Oryzias latipes: one gene and its partner. The protein of the gene in region 1 interacts with the protein of each later gene in a pairwise test. Links are inferred from orthologs where the notes say so. Each region holds a gene or a part of one and is shown in the gene's direction. Other genes may lie near its edges.

What was found. The genes of interacting proteins can lie anywhere in the genome.
Region 2: the proteins of cwf19l2 (region 1) and meox1 interact in binary tests that used the Homo sapiens proteins (3 or more experiments, as listed by UniProt). The two-hybrid records come from large-scale screens. The link is inferred for Oryzias latipes from reciprocal best matches to the Homo sapiens genes CWF19L2 and MEOX1.

Annotation. Positions count from the first base shown.
Region 1 is NC_019871.2:20,779,934-20,790,660, forward strand, and holds the start of cwf19l2 (CWF19-like protein 2), read left to right. Parts: upstream 1-4,002; 5' UTR 4,003-4,041; coding exon 4,042-4,134; intron 4,135-4,980; coding exon 4,981-5,091; intron 5,092-6,107; coding exon 6,108-6,233; intron 6,234-10,510; coding exon 10,511-10,627; intron 10,628-10,727. Other genes in the region: alkbh8 (alkylated DNA repair protein alkB homolog 8), read left to right, coding at 1,535-1,684, 2,202-2,843.
Region 2 is NC_019877.2:18,100,560-18,111,334, forward strand, and holds the start of meox1 (homeobox protein MOX-1), read left to right. Parts: upstream 1-5,639; 5' UTR 5,640-5,868; intron 5,869-5,944; 5' UTR 5,945-6,007; coding exon 6,008-6,506; intron 6,507-9,688; coding exon 9,689-9,861; intron 9,862-10,775. UniProt on the Homo sapiens protein: Mesodermal transcription factor that plays a key role in somitogenesis and is specifically required for sclerotome development. Required for maintenance of the sclerotome polarity and formation of the cranio-cervical joints.

The DNA of each region.
Region 1 (10,727 bases):
ATAATGAACTGAACGTTCCTGCACATATTCAAGTTTCAGTGTAAGACACCTGACAGGAAACTGTAGTCTTCTCTCTGTGCCGACTCAGGTGAATTTCTAAACCCCCACTCCGATCATCTTCTGATCTATTTTGTAAGCATTACCAGAGGTCTATTAATTATGATCATGATGTTTTTAATCAAAATACCTGTGTCGTTTTGTAGGACATAGTTTCTGCAGAACAGCAGCAGTTCAACAGGAATTCGCCTCTGAGCTGTTGGTGGGACTGTTAGCTTGCGCTGATATCCCATCAAGGCCTGGTTTACACTTTCTCCCGCTAGATTACGGCTCCTCGCAACGCCAACCTAACATGAGCCATGCAGAAAAAAGGCGAGCATTGTTGGAGCAATCGAGCCGTACAGTTTTGTGTCAAAGGGCAGCTCAGGCGAGGAAAATGATGACGTTAATGGATCTACTTGTCTACAAGTGGATGCATCAGAATGGAGCGGAGTAGGAAACTTGTGACCCGTCCAGCTTATTTTCTACCTCACAATTACGATTCTGATTCAGAATGATTTAAATAAAGAAATACTCAGAAATGCAATTTTGAAGTTTAATTTTTTTTTTATATTTGTCCTCCATCATCAGAAAAATGCTACAAGAACATGTTAAAAACACCAAAAACACTATTTTCACTGGAGGGGGTTTGATTAAATACTGCAGCTCTGCAGAAACGATTCCCTAGGCCTAGAAAAAGACAGTTTTTTTTATTTTGGGCTAAAAACAGCACCATCATAATTAATAGACCACTGGGAAGGATTTTACAAAAGATCAAAAGATGATTGGAGTGGGACTTTTAGTTAGGTGGTGAAAGGTTTTCTTAGAAGAAACAATGCAGTTGAACAGTTTTGTTGTATTTTGTAAAAGTTGTGTAGTTGTCCTGAATGACAAATACATCCATTCAACAACAGCTGTCACAGAGGTTTTTGGAGATCCCTGCTTTGATTACATCGCATTCATTAGCTTGGTTTCCATGGTAATTTCCTCATTTTCTGTTTACGTGTGCACATGGGGGATATTCATATTTGGGATCTGGGACGTGCATTTAAGCAGCTTATGCCGACTCCAGGCGTAGCTGTTATAAATCAACACTGAGAACATTGTGATTATGCAGGTCACACACCAATTTCCGAGGATAATTCCTCTTTTTTTTTCTATTTCCTCCTCCCCTGCTTTTCTCTGTTTAATCCTTTCCATTTTTGTCTCCTACAAAGCACCTCAGTGTCTTCAGCTGCCGTTTAGAATAAGATTCAATTTAAAACATGATTGTTTGTTCGGGTCCATTTGTGTTTACAGACATGGACAGAATGATTGGTATCACTCCAGTAATGAAAGAAAAATCATTTAAAGTAACTAAGACAACTAAACTAACTAAAAAAAATCCTTCTTTTGGTATTTGAAGTCATTTTTGTTCTTATTTCCTGCTTGTGTGTTCCTCTTACAGTTGTTGTGTCTTCAGCTGAAGCTTGTCTTTCTTGTGTCTATTTGCCTTCAGGTGGGTTGTGATCGCAGCACTGCTCTTGTTCAGATCTGCGCCGCGAGGGGTTATCATGCGTTTGTGTCAGACGCCCTCAGCGTTCCCCTGCGAACGGCGTCGTGTGACGCCTGCATTTCCATCGCGGTCATTCATCATTTTTCCACTGCGGTATGTTCTCCACATTTTCATACAAAGATGATTGACATGTGACAATCATTGCCTCTTTTTTTTGTTAGACCCACAAAGATCTGCAGACAATGAGTTATGTGGGAAAATGGCTTTAAAAAATACTAAAATCTCAGATGGAAAAAAAAAAAAATTCTATTAACTACAAAACGCCATCTTTGAGATGCAGCAGTAATTTTTCTCACATTATAATAACAAATGGTTCAAAATAGGTAATAAAACTATAGTTATTATTATTTTATGTTACATATAGCTATGACATTTTTATTGAGTGTGGAAAATATTTAAATTTGACAAAAGCTTAATAGTTTTTTAAATTACAATGAGGTTTGTTGGTCCAGCTAATGAATATTTCTATAAATGTTAAAGTTCCAAGTTTGTCTAGCCTTGATGTGCAACAAAGTTCCATTTTTATATTGTTTTGTTGTCAAATTTAGATTTTTTTAATCGAAAGTCTTGTTGAAATAATGAGTTTGAATGTTTTTCCTGTATTTACCAGGAGCGCCGACTGGCAGCAGTGAAGGAGCTGGTGAGACTTTTGAAGCCTGGAGGTCAGGCACTTATCTATGTTTGGGCTTTTGAACAAGAATACAACAAGCAGAAGTCCAAATACCTCAAGCAAATCTTCAAAGAAGACCATGGAGAGTTCAGTTCCACCAACTTACTGTCAGAAAAGAGCCAGAAATCCAGTGGAGAAAAAGTATCTGATCTTTCCTGCCACTTAGAAAACAGCCATAAACCTTCTGACATGCAAGGTGTTAGTAGAGTTCCTGATGCTCGCCTCAGTGTGCACACCAACCGCACAGCCTTTACTTCCCAGGATCTTTTGGTTCCCTGGCATCTTAAGGGAGGGAAATCGCAGCTAGAGGAAAACCCTGACTTAAGCTCCAGCCCCGACTCAAGCCTGGGGTCGGACTCAAACTCCTCCCAGCGTGCAGATGCTAAGCTGAGTCCAGCATTCCCTCAGGCTTCAGCTTCTGCTTTGAAACTGGAGAGTAGCACAGTTCCAGTTTTTCATCGCTATTACCATGTTTTCCAGCAGGGGGAGCTGGAGCATCTGTGTGCTCAGGTGTCTGGAGTCAAAGTGAAGAGCAGTTACCATGACCAGGGCAACTGGTGTGTTGTGTTGCAGAAGGAATGAATGCAGAAAGATATGTCTGTGCGAATAAAAACTTGGCAGAACAAAAAACAGAACAGTGAGACAAAATGAAAAGATGTTCTTGTTGAGATTTTAAGAGAAATTAATAAATGTAGATTTTTGAGAAACTGTCTTTTACAGGGCTTTGATATTTGTGACTCTTTTGTTCGTTTTTGCTTGTTGGTATTTCATATTTTAAAAATCATTTTATTTTTCTTTTATCTTTAAAAATTCAAGTCAAGTCAAGTTTATTTATAATGCGCTTTAAAAAAAAACCCAGCAGAGGCTGACTAAAACACTTAACAATGAAAGATTAAAAAAAAACAACAATCTAAAATAAACAACATAATAAAAAAGTAAGAAACATCAATAAAATCACCAACTCATACTGAGCTAAAAGACAGAGGGAAAAAGGGAGTTTTCAACTTGGATTTAAAATCATTCAATAAATGAAAAAGAAACACATCTAAGTGATTTTTGGTCTCCTTTTAAGTTCAGTTTGTGCTTTGAAATTATCAGGGACTTTAAATTGAGAGCAGCCAGCACAGATTTTTTGTTTTATTTCCAACATTAAGGCAAATCAATCAAACTTTATTTTTTCAAAGCAAGTTTGTTTCGCACATTTTATGTACAAAGGTAGTTCAAAGTGCCTTACATAAAACATTAAAGGAAACATTTACTGGAGATATTAATGGGGTGATTATTAAAATAAAAATTAAAGAAAGTTAAAAAGAACGGAAATTAAAATAAGCTTAGAGTAACGGTGCTGATGTAAACTTTTGAAGTTAAATTAATTAAATGCTGTTGAGAACAGGTGGGCCTTTAACATGGGTTTAAAAAAACTGAGTGTTTTAGCAGATCTAAGGCTTTCCTGAAGTCTGTTCCAGAAGATCTGTGGAGCATAGAAGCTGAATGCAGCTTCTCCGTTTTGGTTTGGACTCCAGGAACTGACAACGGTGACAACAGATGATGGGAGAGGTCTGCATTGGACACTGAAGCCGCTAATTTGCACATGTAATGCTTGAAAACTATAGAACAAAATAATGATAGTGGGCCTTATATTTATCATAATCATCTTATTTAGCTCTTTGGAAAATTAGGCATTAAGGGTTAGGGTTAATGGAACTACAAGAACCACAAAACAACTGTCGTAAACAGCGATGTTTTACGACAGTTGGCTAGACCCGTGTACGACGTAGTTATGGCGGCGTACGGAGTCAGTTTTGAGAGTTCCAGCAACATCGAAGAAGCGAAAGAAAAGAAACGACAGGCGCGACAAGAGGCGATACAAAAGGTACGAACTAGGACTCTTTAGAACGCAGATGTGAAGTATTTCCGCGCCGCCGTTTGTTTTTGTTTACATTGATTGACCTGCTAACCGACATGCTAAGGATGGTACCATCAACGATCAAGTCAACCGGGACTATGTGACGTTTTGAGAAGGTTTGCTGTCGTGATGAAGTTTTAAGCAAGCGCTTGTCGGGACATTTTTCAGATTATTCCTGTTTGGACCATTGCTGCATGCTCCCTGAACGCTTGCAGGGAAATATGACACAAACACTGAAAGTGGTGAAAGTCAGTGACCGATATAGCACAGCAGACGGCGGCAGCCTGTCTTTTTCGTGTTTACATTTTGTCCAGATTGTAGTTATTCACTGTCCACAGATAGAAAACAAGAACATCTTAATAGCTGTATTCAAACATGAACATAGCTATTTACGCAGCACTTACAGCTGTTCCCTTTAAATGCACATAAATGTGTTGTAGACTCTTATCTGTTCTGCGCAAGCGCCAGGAAACTGACAACAACCGAGTGGAGCCCAGAACTGAGGAAAACTCAATCTATACATTTATCTTCAACCGATATACAGCAAAACATATTTAGCCAAATCTCTTTACTTTCTGTGCTGTTTTTATAATCTGAATATAATATATAATCGTAATCAATTTTCCAGCTCACATTTATACTTATAATCCCAAAATAGTATGTGAAGTCTAGATTTTGTTCAAATCTTTGTTTAGTGTTACCATTTATTTCTAGACACTTCAGCATAATTTAACATAATGTGTGAGTACATTTCTGTAAAACCACAAATACTGGTATGCTGTAGATATTATAATAAATGTTATTTTTTTTAAGGCTAAGCAACAATATGAGAAGGAGGAGAGGAGAAAGGAGCTGAAGAGGCAGAGAGGAGAGGACACCTGGATACTTCCTGAAGTCAACCAGAGACTGGAGCAGTTAGGAGACGTAAGTTGTATCTGTTTCACTTCAGAAAGACATTTAATAAGCAGCACAATGACAGAAATACATCATTTAAAGACCCACTCCAATGAGTATAGTATTTATGTTGTTTTTAACATGTTTTTGTTGCATTTTTCTCATGTTGAATAAAATATATCAAGAAAATTGAGATTAAAAATGCATTTCTGAGTATTTCTGTATTCATATTGTTGTGAATCAGGAGCAGACAGTCTGAGCTGAAATCTGTCTTAAAACTGGACGACTGCTCGCCAGTTTTGTTGCACCGGTAATGTTAGATTGGGGTTGTGAGGGGCTGTGAGCTAGCTGGAGGGAGTGTAAACAAAGGGTTCATGGGTAATGAGCGCACTTCAACAGTCCAACCCACAACTCCGAGGTGAATTTCTAATGAACTCCTGCCACCCTGCAGAAACTGTCCTAGAAAACAACACAGATTTTATAAATTTTTGCCTAAAAGAGCATAATTATTATTAAAATACCACTGGGAATGCTTTGAAAATGGATCAAAAGATGACTGCAGTTGGACGTGAATCATGTTTAATCATTTTCTAGAGCTATAGGTTGTTAAAGAAACATGCCAATGGTGGCACATTTCTTAAGAAAGTATTTATGCCTTATTTTTATATTTACCTAATCTAATTTTCATCTTTTTTTCCTTACATGCTGCTTTGAGTTTGCCATTGTCGGAGAAATAAAGTTTTATTTATCATTTTAGAATTTAAAACCACCTGCTTCACAGCAAACCAGTTTTCATCTTTTTTAAACCATGAAAACTTATTTGTTTTTTTATGTCAACATATTGGGTAGTTGTTTTTTTTTTTCCTGTACTCAAGCTAAACGTTTGCTGGTAAATCTTCATGTTTGCAGAAGTGGCTTCAAAATTTGCTTATGCAGAATTTTGGCAGCTTCACTCTTTTCCTGCTAATTGTATTTATTTCAATTCAAATATATTTTTTAAACAAACTGAGGTTCCATTTAAAGAACTAAATTCAAACATTTACCAGGATGGATCTTTGAAGAGCAAAAAGAAGAAAAAGGAGAAGAAATCCAAGAAGAAAAAAGAGAAGAAGAAGGACAAGAAAGAGAAAAGGAAAACGGAAGCAGGAGATGCTTCAAGTGTGGATTCAGAGGTAGACCGTCTTCCATGCATTACTCTGAGATACAAACACACAAATGATCTGTCAACAAGTTTTTCTGAGTGGTTTCTTAACAAAGATGTTTTAATAATTTCTATAACTGAAAAAATATTTTTGGGTTGAGTTCAGGTGAAGAATTTAGTTACGATTTAACACTAGAACGCCCAGGATTCTTCACTCCCCCTGCAGCGTCCAGAGCACAGCCAAATGGCTGGGTGACTCGAAATGACTCAAGGCCCGTACACACCGGGACGAATATTCGCCAGGCGTTATTCGCCAGCGTTTTTCGCCACGTTTTTTGTGTTCACACCCAGGCGATTTTCGCTGACGGTGAGCCGAGCGAACATGCAATTTCATTCCCTGACATTAGATGGCGCTTAATGTAAACAGAAATACTCCTGTACACAAGGTGGCGCTGCGCACCTTTACGCTTCTTAAAGTCGCTTTTCACTCAGAAGAAGTGAGCAAGTATTTACGCGCTTGTCAGAATCATACAAAGAAAACATGAATATTTCAAGCATCAGTAGCTCCAACTGGTACTTGGTTCGGGGATATTTAAGAATGTCCGTCATTATTTCTTCACAGCAGTGTAGACGCTACTTGGCGTCTATCTTCTTCGCTGGTATGTGTGCTCAGCAAGGCAGTTTTGTGTTTGAGCGCCCCCAAGTTGTGTTTTACTGTAACTTCAGAAGCTCCAGACACGTGTGCAAAAGCGGCATTCTCATTGGTCGAATAGATTTCGACACGACGCGTCGAAAAAAAAAACGAACCCGAGGCGTTTTTTTTTTTTGACGCTTTGGCGCGTGGCGTTTTTTCGCGTCGGTGTGCACACTCTCATTGGTGCCCTTTGTTTAGTCACGAGGCGTTAAACGTCGGCGAAAATTGCCGGCGAAATTCGTCCCGGTGTGAACGGGCCTTAAGGCTACATTCACACTGCAGGGCTTAATGCTCAATTCGGATTTTTTGAAAAAATCTGATTTGTTTGCTAGACCGTTCACATTTCCAAGTAAATCCAAACTTTTGTGATCTCCAGTGTGACCGTGACACGACCCAAACGAGACCCGCATGCGCAGAAGCTAGAAGAATACTCAACAGTGAACAACGTCACTTGTTGTTTGCGGAGCCAACGTTAACAATGGATGTCAACAACAGTGTTGTCAAAAGCGGAGCTCTTTTTGTAATATTACATTTATTTTCACAAAGGAGCAGCACAATTACAATCTTCTCATTTTAAGAAGGCATTGGAGTCGGGATCGTCTGTACCCACTGTAGTGGAAGAGGAATGTGTATGTGTTGGGGCCTCGCCCCCGCGTGTGTGTGTGTGCAAGCGCGTGCCGCGATAGAGAATAGGGGGGGGGGGGGGGGGGCAGTGTGGGCGCGCATTCATGTTGTGTGTTACGGAGGACGGTAATAAAAGAAGGTTTCCCCCAAAATAAATGCTATGGACTCTTTATTAACCCGTTCTGGAGAATCTAAGGATCAGAACAGGGAGGAGGAGGAGGATCGCCTCGCGTCCCCCGCGCTTCTGAGCACAGTCAAAGGGGAGAAAGAAAAAAAAGTTATCGCGGGAAAGGTTCAACACCACGCTCGGCCATTTATCTGGAAATTTTTTCAAAAACCGCCCAGTTGCGATAAGAGCCCTGGAGTTTGGCCTGAATAGAGCGATCACCCCAAATATTAATCCAATCCGTGACCTCCCTTCCCTTCCACTGACTGGTCTCTCAGCAGCATCCTCCACCATGGTTGATGTTTACGTTCTCGTTCCCGCCTACTTCAACGCAAAATGATGACGTTTGTTGCGTGTCGATGACGTACGGTTCGGAATCAAGTCGCCTGGCCGGTCAGACGGCGGTCGCAATTGAAAAGAACGGCTACAATTCGGAATCAGGATGGCAAACCCACGGGGCCTGGGTCGCAATTGAAAAGATCGGATCTGTGTCATTCAGACTGTCATGAAAAAATCGGAATTGGGCCGCTTAGGGGCAAAAAATTCGGAATTGGGTCGTTTCAGCCTGCAGTGTGAACGTAGCCTAATTCAACAGCCTTCAATTAGCCACCTTTCATTTGTAAATGCAGCACCAACTACCTGATCATCTGGATGAAGACATGTCCTAGCTAACCACATTCTTTACTCTGATCAGGGTGGGGGAGGTTTTTCTGCTTCAAAAGAGCCTCCAAGCTCTGACAAACTTTGACTCCCAGTGTGTCAACTGAAAAACCAAGATGCCTTATTTTTACTACCCTGAGCAGACATTGAAAATGATCCTGGAGCAAGTCAACCCATTTGACTCTGAGGGAGAAGAGATAGTCCTTTAGCTGGACTCAGACTGATATTTCTTTTGATAAGATTTCATGAACATCTTGTTCTCATTTGCTGATTCTAGCAGTTGTCTATCCATTTATTTTCTGGGCCTGCTCATCCTGGTCAGGATCACAGGGGTCTGCTGGAGCACATCCCAGGTAGTCACAAGCAACTGGGGAGGGCTACACCCTGGATGGGTCACCAGTCCATTGCAGGGCCACATAGATAAATAACCAGGCACACTCACATACACACCTAGGAGAAATTAAGAGTAATTTAATTTAACCACATGTTTCTTGGACTGGGGAGGCAAAGGAGGCCTATTTGACATGTTTTGGAATTTGTAGATTTTAACTAGAATTCAACAAAAAAAAAAAAATTTAAAATAAACGAAACAACATATATCTTTACATTGCTGAAGGTTTTCATTGCTCAGATCTCAGAAATCAGATCACTGATGAGGAGATTTCACTGCCATCAGAAAAGAGAGGACGACAGAGAGGAGACACACTGTGCCAACAGAAAAGGCAAAAGATGGCACAATGTGGCATTCAGAAAAGGTTGGGAGGCCTCTCCATCACAACACAATTGAATGTTACACTGCTGAGGAAGAGCCAACTGCTTTGGTCAGAAGTACGGTGTCGACTCGCTTACAGAGTTTCCTGTTTCCTCACTCTGAACATGCTTCAGACTATTCGGGACTGTGTTGTTCAGCATGAACGTCAGACAGAAGATGACAGCTGGTTCATGGCCCTCCCTGAACTAATGGGCTTCATTGCCATCCTCCTTGTGAGGGGGGGATAAAACTTGCATCCATGCAAAACGCAAGATGCAAGATGGTTGGCGAAAATGGGAAATCCACTGATCTAAAAAAGCTATGGTCAGAAACCACTTCAAAGATATCATGCGGCATTTACACTTTGATGTCTAGGGCACGCGCATGGAACAAGTTGGGACTGACAGGTTTCCTGCAATCTCCAATGTTTGTGGGTTTGTTGTTGCCAACTGCATCAAACTTTCAACCAGGTAAAATTCACTGGGAGCTTCCAGAATCAGTAAAAAACCTTGCACAGGTACATGCGGGGGCTGAGAAGGTGAAAAAGGAATACCGTTTTTGGTGACAAGCTCCCATACCTGGCAAAGGGAAACGGGCAATATGCCAGGTGAATAGTCAGTACAAGAACAATAATGCCAGAGTGCGCTTTGTTGATTGCTACAAGTATACCATGTGGCAAATGCAGAAAGGAGATTTTGGGGCAGTACCAAGTATGTGCAGACAAGTAGTGGGTTGAAGATATGACTTTGACCAGATGATTTCTTTGCTTGAGCATTTCAGTATTATGTCGGTAAAGAAGTGTCTCTTGTGAATGAAAGATAAATCTCAGCCAAAAAAGAAAAACCAAACTGTGGTGACCTCTTACTAGAAGTGACAGAGGTGAGGGGAAATAGTGAAAACTTGCGCAGCCACTTGGCTTGTCCTTTTTGCAGAACAACCTAATGGCGGTGCTGTTCATGTGCAAAATATGTTGAAGGCTGCTCTTTGGGCATGTAAATTTGAACTAATCCAGCCACTTGGCTGTCCCTTAGACATTGTAGGTAGAAAAGCCAAATGGCTGCCCTACGGACGTTCTAGTGTTAATCAAAGATAACTGCTGAATCTGTTCAAATGTTCTTTTTTCCTTAAGTCTCAACTCCTCAGGAAACATCCTGATGGGGAGGATGATAGACTTCTTTTTCTTTCTCTTTACGCTGCAACAAAAAATTAAACACTTTGAAAAAACATAGTAGATACTCACATGGAATGGGGAAATTGTTGAACATCAAAACCAAAGATTATCAGCATAGAAGGGGCTGAATTCAAAGGGCCTCCGTAGCTCTCTAGATGTTCCCAGTGCTTCTGGTGGTATGTTTCTTAATCATCATCATCATCATCATGCTGGCTTTCCTTCCTATTTGCTGGATGTGTCAGGACTCAGCAGAGGAGTGGGTTGAGGCTCAGCCTCCAAAGCAGCCGGCTAAAGCATGGCAAACGTCAGGAGAAGCCAAGTCTTCAGACAACAGCGGAACCACTGAGCACACTGTCCAGGTGACGTTTGCATCTTCATGAAGCTATTTGTATTTTACAAAAGACAACATAAACTATACAATTTTCAAAGACAGCAGATAGGTGCAGAGTTTTGAGAGCA
Region 2 (10,775 bases), on another chromosome or scaffold:
CCACCCCCAGTGACAGAGAACACCACTGCCTAGGTTGGCTCCAATCCTTGTGGCTGGAACCACAGACCTGGCAGCAGCACGGTAAGAATGGTTATTCACAGATGGATTTTTTTTAAATATATTTTTATTTAAAATATATTTATTTATCCTAGATGGCTCGCGATCTACCCACTTGTCGACGTAATGAGCACACCTGCGCTGTCTACTCTAACTCACAACCTCACTAGTCACAAGCCAAAAAACACAGTCCGACCCTGCAACATGTTAGCCATGTTAGAAGTGTTAAGTGCATTAGCGTATACACACAATACCTGTAAAGGCTAATTTCCACAGGGTCCAACACAAGCTTTATACAGGAATTCTATTTCTAGTATGTTGACATGTCATCATCACAGTAAACAACAAGAGAACCGGAAAAAGTTCTGGGTTTTAAAAATAAACTTCTTTTGTACTTTCAAAAGAAAAATGTCAAAAAAACTTCACAACACTGTATTTTATGTTTAAGGTGACGTGTCCACGCAAGAACACAAGTTAACACTACAGATTACCGTCCAGTTTAATTTTGGAAGTACAAAAGCATGTGATTTATGACCCAAAACGTGCATTAGGACTTAGTGAGGAAGGAGAGGTCATTGGGACTTGAATGGTTCAGTTTTGGATGAGCAAAGAGAGCAGGACAAACTACTTGACACAGGGTTGCCAAGACAAACCGCTTCTCTGGGAGTCAGGGGGATGGGGGACGGACCAGAAACGCAACGGAAACAATGTAAACTAACAGACGATTGTGAGACAGACTCCCCACACAACGCAACGGAGATGCACCACAGACAGAAATCTGGGTCAACTCTAAAACATCTTAGTAATACATAAAAAAAAAACTAACTGTATTTACAACACGTAAAAACTCAAACTGATACCCCTAAAACAAACGTTACTGTGACAACGCTAACACGCAACCTTGTTTGGAATTTTTATAGAAAGACAGTCTGACAAAGCTACACGTTAGCCACATTAATAATAATAATAATACATTTTATTTGTTAGGCGCCTTTCTGGGAACCCAAGGTCGCCGTACATAAAAGTGAAAATAAAATAAAAGCAATAAAATGTACAATAAAATATGCATTTAAAATAGCCCAGGAATACCAAGTTATGGGGGGAAATAGGCAACTTGGAAAAGGTGAGTTTTTAGTTTCTTGGTGAATTGTGAGAGAGAGCCAATGTTTCTGAGGTCAGGAGGTAGTGAGTTCCAGAGCCTCGGGGCAGAGCAGCTGAAAGCTCTGTTTCCCATAGTGACAAGGCGAGCAGTGGGGACATCCAGATGAAGGCAGGAGGAGGATCTGAGGGTACGGTTGGGTGTGGCGACATGAACAAAATCTGATAGATATGAGGGGGCAAGGTTGTGGTTGGATTTAAAAGTCAGGAGAAGTATTTTGTATGTAATCCGGTGTGTGATCAGTAGCCAATCGAGCTGCTGCAGAACATGTGTGATGTGTTGGATGGAAGGTGTTTGAGAGATAATTCTGTCATCTGAGTTTTGAACAATTAGCGTATTCACAACATCTATCACTGCAAATATTTTTTAGTAACACGCAAAAAAAAAAAAACAGTCTGACACTGCAATCCATTTAGCCGCGTTAGCATTTTTACAAAAACACCAACCTCATTTGCAACATGTAAAAAAACAGATAGACATCTTGATAGAGTGCTGCATCCCTATCAAAAACGCTTCATTTAGCACAACCAGGCTTAATCCATATATAAGCCATTCTGGATGATAAAGAACACAAAAAATAGGGTTTTTATCATTTTTATCATAGTGCGGAAAATATGCTATATATATAAGCAGTGAGTGGCACTCTTGCTGTTAATCCGCCTGTTGGTTGGATTATCTTTTCTTTTTTTTTTTTTTGGTCTTGTGTTGTATGTTTTCGGAATTCCCTTCACATCGCTCCGCTTTAACATCAGGCCCCACATGTGTGCAGAGTGGTATATGTCTGACGCTCCCACAAAATTTAGGTTAAGTCGGGGTCACAAGAACTCTTGCTGTCATCCTCAAGAGAGTGATGGCGTTCTTCATTCTGGCAAGTGTCAAAAAGATGGATCAGTTTTAAACACACATGCGCAAATACACACAAACAAGGTCATGCATAAACTAAACAACATTTAAGGCACCACTGCAAAGGAACAGCAACAAAAAATGCACCCAAATTTGAATGTTGTTTTTCTGAGGCAGAATTGTTTCGCTATCCCTGGCTGTGCGCACATCCTGACACGCACTCGCTGCTGGACTGACAGTAACAGGTTGTGGGGTGATGTGACTCATGTCCAGCTCATTTATCGGTGTGTATGACTGAGTCCACATGCAACACAACCTCACAAAACCTTAGCTACAGCTGTTTAGTGGCAACCAAAAAAGTGTAAAAATCTTCTTAAAAGTCCAGTTTTTCTTATAGTATTTACAGAGAAAGTATTCATCATACAATCTAGAACTATGAACTATTATAATCGATTAAGGTGGAAAAATACAGTATGAATATTAAATCTTGCCCTGACTAAAACATATCAATTTATAATTTTTGCTTACAACTATCCAACAAACTATGTCCAAAAAATAGAAATATAAATTCACAATTTCAACCTTCTATAGTTTTGTTAACAGCATAACACCAGATACAACAAGCCACAAATGTCCATATTATTATGCAAAGTCTATTTTTCTAAATACTCAATGCAAATAAAAGTCAGCATAATTTTCAACTAACTACAGTAACCATTAGAGTATATACTAAATGTTATTAAATCAATCTCCTAAAGATAACCGTTTACTTCGAAAAATAATAACCTTAAAAAGCAGTGTTCCCCCTTAATTACACAGAACAGAGTTCATCAACATTTTAATAAATTCTTGATAACTGAAAATGGTAATTTGTTGAATTTTAGGAGGTCATATTTACTGAAATCTAAAGCTATTCCAATCAATAACATCTTAATCAGTTAAGCTACATTTGAACATAGGACTCCATATTTTGCAACAGCTTCACAATTCTTGCACTCATTGAACTTTTGAGTTTTTGGAGAGTTTCTGCTTTTTGTGTAATTTTTTTTGCAGGATGTCGGAATAGCAGCTGCTGGTCTCTCTGGAGACCCACAAACATTAAGGTGTAGGATCCTCCAGAGGCTTGCAGTTATAAGGAAACCTTGTTTTCGGCCACCCCTAAACAACACTCAAAAACAGAAATGGCCGCAGTGGGCCTAGACATACATGAACACTCATTTTCAAACAGCATTGTTCACTGATGAGTGCCATGCAACCCTGTGTGGTCCAGATGGGTGGAATAGTGGGCGGTTGGATGGCCACCGTGTCCCAACAAGGTTGCGACGTCAGCAATTCAGACAAAGTATTTTCAAAGTCATACTCTTCAAATAAATTGTGATATATTAACTCTGCTACAGTTTTAGAATTTATTGGGATATTCTGCATTTTCACTAAGGGAGTTAGAACTGTCGTCATTGTTCACCCTGATGGCTTTACTTTTAGTTTCTTTCTGCCTTGTCTTAAAGCTGTTTTCTAGGCCTCTTATAATTCTTCATACCAGAGCTACCACATTGATCACTGTGGCTTTGTCTTTAAGTTTGATGTGCATCCATCACAGTTTTGTCAGTCAAGATCTTTGGTCAGATTTTTTACATACTTTATGGATATCTTCTGGCAGAACGTTTGTTCTAAAACTGCATGTGCAAACTCAAACACAAACAAGCTCACTCCTGCATAATGAGAGTGGTTGCCATAGAAATGATGACTCAGACCATCTCGGACCAATCACTGCTTACTGGCTCCAACATGGCGGCACTCATATCACGAAAATGTGTTGGCAGAATTGACTTGATTTGGTCGGAACTGATATGATATGATATGATATGAGTGCCGCCAGTGACATTACACTCATTTGGTCAAGTTCTCATAGTCAAGCCTTTCGATGGTGACCTTGTCTCACAAGGGTCCGTGTTTGGTCCTTGACAGAGTTTCACACCTGCCTAAAAAATAAATCCCCATAAAACTAAGAACACAAACTGGCGCCAGTACAGAAAAGCTGCTAAACAGTGAAGTATGTCTGTTGGCCTTATTGGCAGATGTGACGTTGTCTTAACTGTAGAATGCAAGAATAGAAAAATGTTTGTCAGGATTTTGTTTTACTTCTTATAGCATCTTAATCCTTACTCCACATTCTGTAACAACTGCAAACTTCTCATTAATTTTCTTTGGACTCCATGCAAACAAAATGATGCATACATTCACATTGCACAGACACCCTTTAATTTCCACTGACATACAGATAGCCCCCACTCTGAGCACAAATGCAGCATTACCCCAGTTCCCTGCAGTGACATCAGGCCTGCCGGTAAAAACCAGGGATGCTTCATGGCTCAACAATCTACTGGCTAAATGGAAAGGCTTTTCCTGGGACCTCAAACACTCCCCTTTCTGGCTCTTTATTTCATTTTGTCCACAGATTGTGTCAGCACTATGGCTTTCTGATAAAATCTCTTTTTTTTCTTGCTTTGCCCTTTTTGGGGGGCTTTTTTTTGTTTATTTGAGAAGACAAAATCAACACAATAATTTTTCGCTCACAGGTTAACCCCTTTTTTTTCAGTGTTTTGCTTTCGTGTTCTCCTACTTCAGAGCTTTTTTTCATTATTTTCTGTCAGTAAAAGTGTGATTCCATCCCCCCTTCACTGGGATGTCAACAGTAAAATTGAAACGCGTGGGGAGGGCAAACCTCAACTCAAAAATGGAAGAAGCTTGAAAAAAAACCTGTTTTTGAGTGCAGTGTGGTTCAGTGGGTTTATTGGGTAGGAGATATGCTGAATTGAAGTCCAATGTTTAGCCAAAAAAGCTTTTCATGGTATTAGAGACATGACTTCATGAGGAAGTGACTTGTGTCTTAGGTAAGCATGCAGGAATTAAAAATCAGTGATCAGAAAATGGAGTAAGGGCAGGTCCTGTCTGGATCTGCACGCGAGCACTGTCACACACAGATGCTGAAAGAGGCTCCTTACAGGAAGAGCAAGGAGTTCTAAATAGAAATGGAAGACTTTGAGATGAGCTGGTTGTGGTGAAATATGGCTATCCGGGGTTTTGCCGGAAGGTGTGAACGGTCAGTCCAACCAGGTGGCATTATTTTGCACATGCCATAAAAAAGAGAAACAGGAAAGGAGATTTAATATGGAGAGGATAGACTGAGATCAGGGTTCGGAGGGAAAACTTTCCTCCAAAGGGTGTCAAAAAAGGAACTAAATTGGGTGTCAGAAAGCACTAAGGAGTTGAAATCTGTCAGCCCCCCCAGTTCCCACATGGGTGGGGGCTTGCTTTTCAACTTCTGGGACAATGTCCCTTTAAAAAGCCCCACGTCTGGAAAGCTCATTAGATGTGCATATAAAATTTCCCCTGTGATTAATAGTTGATGAGGAAGGGTTGTTTGGAGGGTACCACCAACATGTGGCCAGCAGGCTCCTCCCCTGCAGGCTCAGATTTCACTCCATAAACTTGCCACTCTTTCCCACCTATATGTTTAAAAAGGAGGAGGGTTCACTTGTCAAGAATGCCTCAGAGGAGTTGTGAAAACAGCCAGCCCCCCCCCCCCCCCTCAAAAAAGGGGGGGTCATGCAGTTGCAGATGAAGCTCTCACGCTGATCCACAGCCAGTCAGAGCCTTGAGGGAAAGAGGTGTGAGAAGGACACAGAAAAAAGTGTGTCTGGACCAGACGTCACGCACACTCCCACTGAGACGTGGAAACCCGCTGCCATAGGAAGGCGTTCATCCTCACGCATTCTGAGCAGTGGAAAAGGCAGCAATATCAGACAGACGTGAGTATTCCACCGGCAGATGCAATGAGACGCCCATGAGGTGGGATCAGTCAGCTGAAGTGTTCGTTTCTCACAGACCTATCGAGGGGCTCTTTTCAGAGGCTTTGCTCAAGAGCGTGTCCAGTGGGTTTGCATCGTCATGGATCAGCCGGCCAGCAGCTGCATGCGGAGCGCCCATCCCGGCAGCCCCATCTGGGGCTGCATGAGGAATCCACACTCTGGGGTCCCTGGAGCCAACCTGCAGTCACCTTACCAGCAGGCCCCTTTCGCCCTTCACCAGAAGCCTGACTTTCTGGCTTACACGGACTTCTCCAGCTCCTGCCTGGTGCCGGCCGCGCCGCACGCCGCCTACCCGCGTGACAACAGACTCTACCAAGAGAGCCCAGGAGGCTATCAGAGAGCCGACTGGCAGTTCAACCCCTGTGAGACCAGGGTGAGAGCGCCCGAGGCCTGCCCACCTGTGGCTCCGGCCGTGGTTAGTGGAGGCGGAAGTGGCGGGCAGGAACTGGACAACGGAGTGAGCGACAGGCTGCCAGGAAGGGTTTCCACGTGCCTGGAGGGAGAATACTCACCGCAGAGCGTGGCGTCAGCTGATTCCGACAAGAAGAGCTCGAGTAAGAGGAAGAAAGACATCACAGGTGAGACAGGTGGAAATAATCCAGACGACATGAGGAAAACCAAACAAAACTCAAATTTCGGAATAACAGTATTTCTCCTGGAAATTTTACTTATTTCTGCTGATCTCTGGTGAACATCAATATAGAGAAAGAAAAAAGTTAACCAAACCTTCTTGAGTTGCCAAAATCTCATGACTAATCGTTGTTTCACATTTTTCTAATAAGAAAAAATATTAAAAACAAATAATTCAGGGATGATATTTACCAGAACAGTGTTGGGTTCATAAAACTTTTCCATGCTCCTTATTGTAGCTGATTCACTTTTTGGCACACCAAATCAGACTAACAGTATGACTTAAAGGTGAAAATGTGCTGTTAAAGAAGCCCATCCTGTTATGATGAAAAAGCTTTAAAAGACTAAAATGTTCCATTCAGCCTCATATCCACAAAGATCCATCTTAGGTTCATGACTTCAGAAAATACAAAAATGCTGTTCTTTGTTATTCAGAAGTGAATATTTTGCACTTTAAAGCAGCAACTCATAATCAGACTGTAACTTCCAGAACATTTCACAACAAAGCAGCTACTCTGTGTATTTCTCTTTTGTTTGTAGTTGCTGTTTGCCTGTCAGAATATTGTTTTTATTCCGAAATATGTATGTTTTTTTGGGGTGTTGAATAAATATTGGTAGACCATAAAAAGCTATCAGGGGCAAGATAATTGTATTAAACATTTTATTCATATATGTACCAAATAAATACACTTTAAAAATGTTAAAAAAAAAGAAGGGCGTAAGCACATAATTAGAGTATTTTAATTTGACAGATAAAAATGATCTTTTAATTCTGCTTATTCATCATTCATAGTTGTAAAATGGCAAAAATTTCAAAACAAATAAAAAATTCTGTTTTTGAAATTAACATTGCTAAACAATGACAAAAAAGACGATGGAAGACCCCAACTTACCTTATTGTAACTTCCACTCTCTAACCTGAAAATGTGCCAGACCACGTCTGCTAAAGTCACTTCCCTGCAAGCCCACTTCTTACATTCTTATCCATTGACATTTTCCTGTCATTAAAGCGTAACACAATCTCTCACTGAGTGCATGCAGCATGTCTGACCACGACATCAGCTCTCCGCTTCAGAAAAGAGCTATTTCCTTTTTAAAAATTGACAAGCTGGTAGGAGAGACCGCGTAAGGAAAAAGGCCTGAGGGCACTGCGGACACAGACAGCTGATGGGAGTTTCTGCAGACACCCCAATGCACCAAAACTGGAGAGATGTGACCAAAACTAATAGGATTTGAAGTGTGCACTTTAGTCCAAAACCTGACTAATGTAATGCAAACTGAATTCAACAGATATTTTGACTAGAAAAAAAAAACCTGATTTGAAGTTTAAATCTACTTATATTAATTTTTATCCAAGATAAATAGGTCCAAGAACTGACACAGAGGGCGAAGTTGTTGTAACCCTTGTGCTATCCTAGGCACTTTAACATTGGGAGTTGTGTCATCTAGACCCACTAGACAGTGCTCTGAACCTTTTTTCTTCAATGATTTATGATCTTCACTGGTGTCCATGGATTACATGAAATCTTTCCACCTTTATCCACCTTTGTCATGGTAGGGATAACACGTCAATGTAAGGGTGGGGTCATCTAAGATAGCACAAGGGATAAATATGTAAAATTGATCCATACTTTTTGTTTTTGTTTAATAGACCAATAAATCATTTTTTTAATCATGATTAATGTATCTGGATTAAATAAGCATAAATCCTTATTTAGTTTTTTCAAAAAAGAGAAACATTAACGTCTTTTTTTCTATCAGATTTTTCAAAACTGCCAGAATAAACTGATTTATGAACTAATCAATACTAAAAAAAAAAAGGGTGTAAGTGTTTACATGTACTTGCTAATTAATCCGAGCATACAAACGCTAAAGTTGTAGCAATCAGACGCCAACTGACAGCAAGCAGCTTTAATTGCATCTTCATTGAGACAAAGTGCCTTTGCACCATCCACCCACAAAGCACCAAATGGTATTTTCCTGTGGGACCCCGCTGGGCGCAGAAGGCCCATCCATGAGAGTTTACGGCCTCCCGCTGTGCTGGATATTTATTGGGGGCCTGTTTAGTGAAAGCCTGTGCTTGCCCCACCAGGTGTTCAGCCTAACTGTAAACCTGTTTGAAACCACTCCAGGTCCAAACCCCCAGTAACACCGGGGCTCCATCAGGAGCATTTTGCTGGAAAACAAAACAAGGCGTGCACAAACACACATGTGCACAGACACACAGTCACACATCTGGACGAGGTGTTGCGGTCAATTTTTTCATTCTGGCCCACTGCTCTGGCAGGCTCACTGCTAAACTTTTCACTTTGACAAATTAGAACCATTTTGTAGAGATTACATCAGCTGCTGGTGTCGCTACTGCTGCACAAAACTGCACAAAGTTGAAATTTGAATCAACCAGCTATTGCACATGTTTAAAAATATTTTAAAAAAACTTTCTGATGTTTTAGGAAGAAAACTAAACAAAAAGTAAAATTAAAATAATCTCTTTTACATTTGAATCTGAAATGAGAAAATTCACCATTCACCTACATTCATGGAGATTTTTTTCTTTTTTAGTGCAGCCTGTCACACAGCGATAAGGTCATGCCGATGCGACACACACAAATACACACGCTCAAACCCAGAAGACCCTGGACACATCCGCACCTTTGTTCTTTTGTTCAAGACCTTTACGACGTTCCGCTGCATTCCTCCCTTAACTTGGTCCCTCTGTGGTCTCTGTGTGGAGTGGCGGCCCCCAACCCGGTGTCCATGCTTTCTCTAGCATTTTTTTTTTACACACACAACATGCATAAATGCAAGCCGAACTTTTGCTGTAACCTTTGAGGTGAAAAACGCTGCAACTACAGGTGAACAGAACTCCTAATGGTGCGTGACGGTGGTCTCCTTTAAACACAAGTTTTAATGTTTGCTGTATAAAAGGGCCTCCTGTTAAACAGCCTTCAGAGTTGGTTTGAAAGGTCCTTCAGGACTGCTTGGAAGATGAAAAACACTGAGATCTTTTTCTAATCAGGTCGGCTGTAAATGCAAGAAGTCAAAAAAAGAAATGTGTCAAGAAAATGCAGTTTTTTGGAGGGTACAAACAGGTGAACTAAACCTTTCTTTTTTGTTTTGTTTTTTGCAGATATCCAGGAATCTGGATTTAAAGTGGATTCCAGCTGCAAAGCAAGGAAAGAGCGCACAGCGTTCACTAAAGAGCAGCTGAGAGAGCTAGAAGCCGAGTTCACCCACCACAACTACCTGACCCGACTGCGGCGCTACGAGATCGCCGTTAACTTGGACCTCACAGAGAGACAGGTGTGCTACTTTCTAGCATTCAAATCCAGCTGGGATGGACCAAACATTGTCAGACGATGTTTGACTAAACTTCATAAATTCACCAGTCTAGCATTTTAAGTTTAACAAAGATCGATCAGCTGCCACAAAAACAATGTATTTTTTCTCCAAGGAGATAAATAGAAAAATTTACTTTTCCAGGAACAAAATGTTGTTTTAAATATTTGTGGAGCATGAAAAAATTGAGCCATCCTGCCAACAAGGTACCACGTATAGAAGATGCTAAATATTCCAAATTTTCTCTCCAGACTGACATTTTTTGCGCCTCGTTACTTTTGAGCTTGGAGCAACTTGTGGTTGAGAAGGACGACATGCAGCTGGGATGATCGGGGGGAGAAGAGCTGTGGACTTGGTGAAATCGAGCGTGCATGTGTCAGTGGTGCTGGATGAAACCCCAGCCTGCCTCTCAAAGGCAGCTCCTCCTAATGAAGCAGCGGTGACCACACGTACTGCTTTCTGCTCCCTAATCTAAGTTCCAGACCTCTGAAAGACAGTCCGTCCTCACTCAGCGCTCCTCCTGTTCCTCGGCTGCGTTTTCTAGTGACACAGTCTGCAGATTAGCTGTCATTTCAGTAAGGGGGGCGGACACTTGAGGGGGCATGTGGAAACAGATTTATAGGTTTTTAGAAGATGAGGCACTCTGGGATGAGGAGAGTTCAACTAAAAATTCCTGAAATCACCACAGTGACTGATTATGAAGAAGCATCTCATTTTTATTGAGACTAAGAGTTGCAAAAAAAATTTAAGGATAAAAATTTTTATGTCTGCCTACAAGTCACATTTCAAAATATAGCCAAACAGCTAAAACATTATGTGAGAACAAAATTGGGGTCTTCTAATTAGGATTATGCAATATTTAGCTATAATTTAAAAGC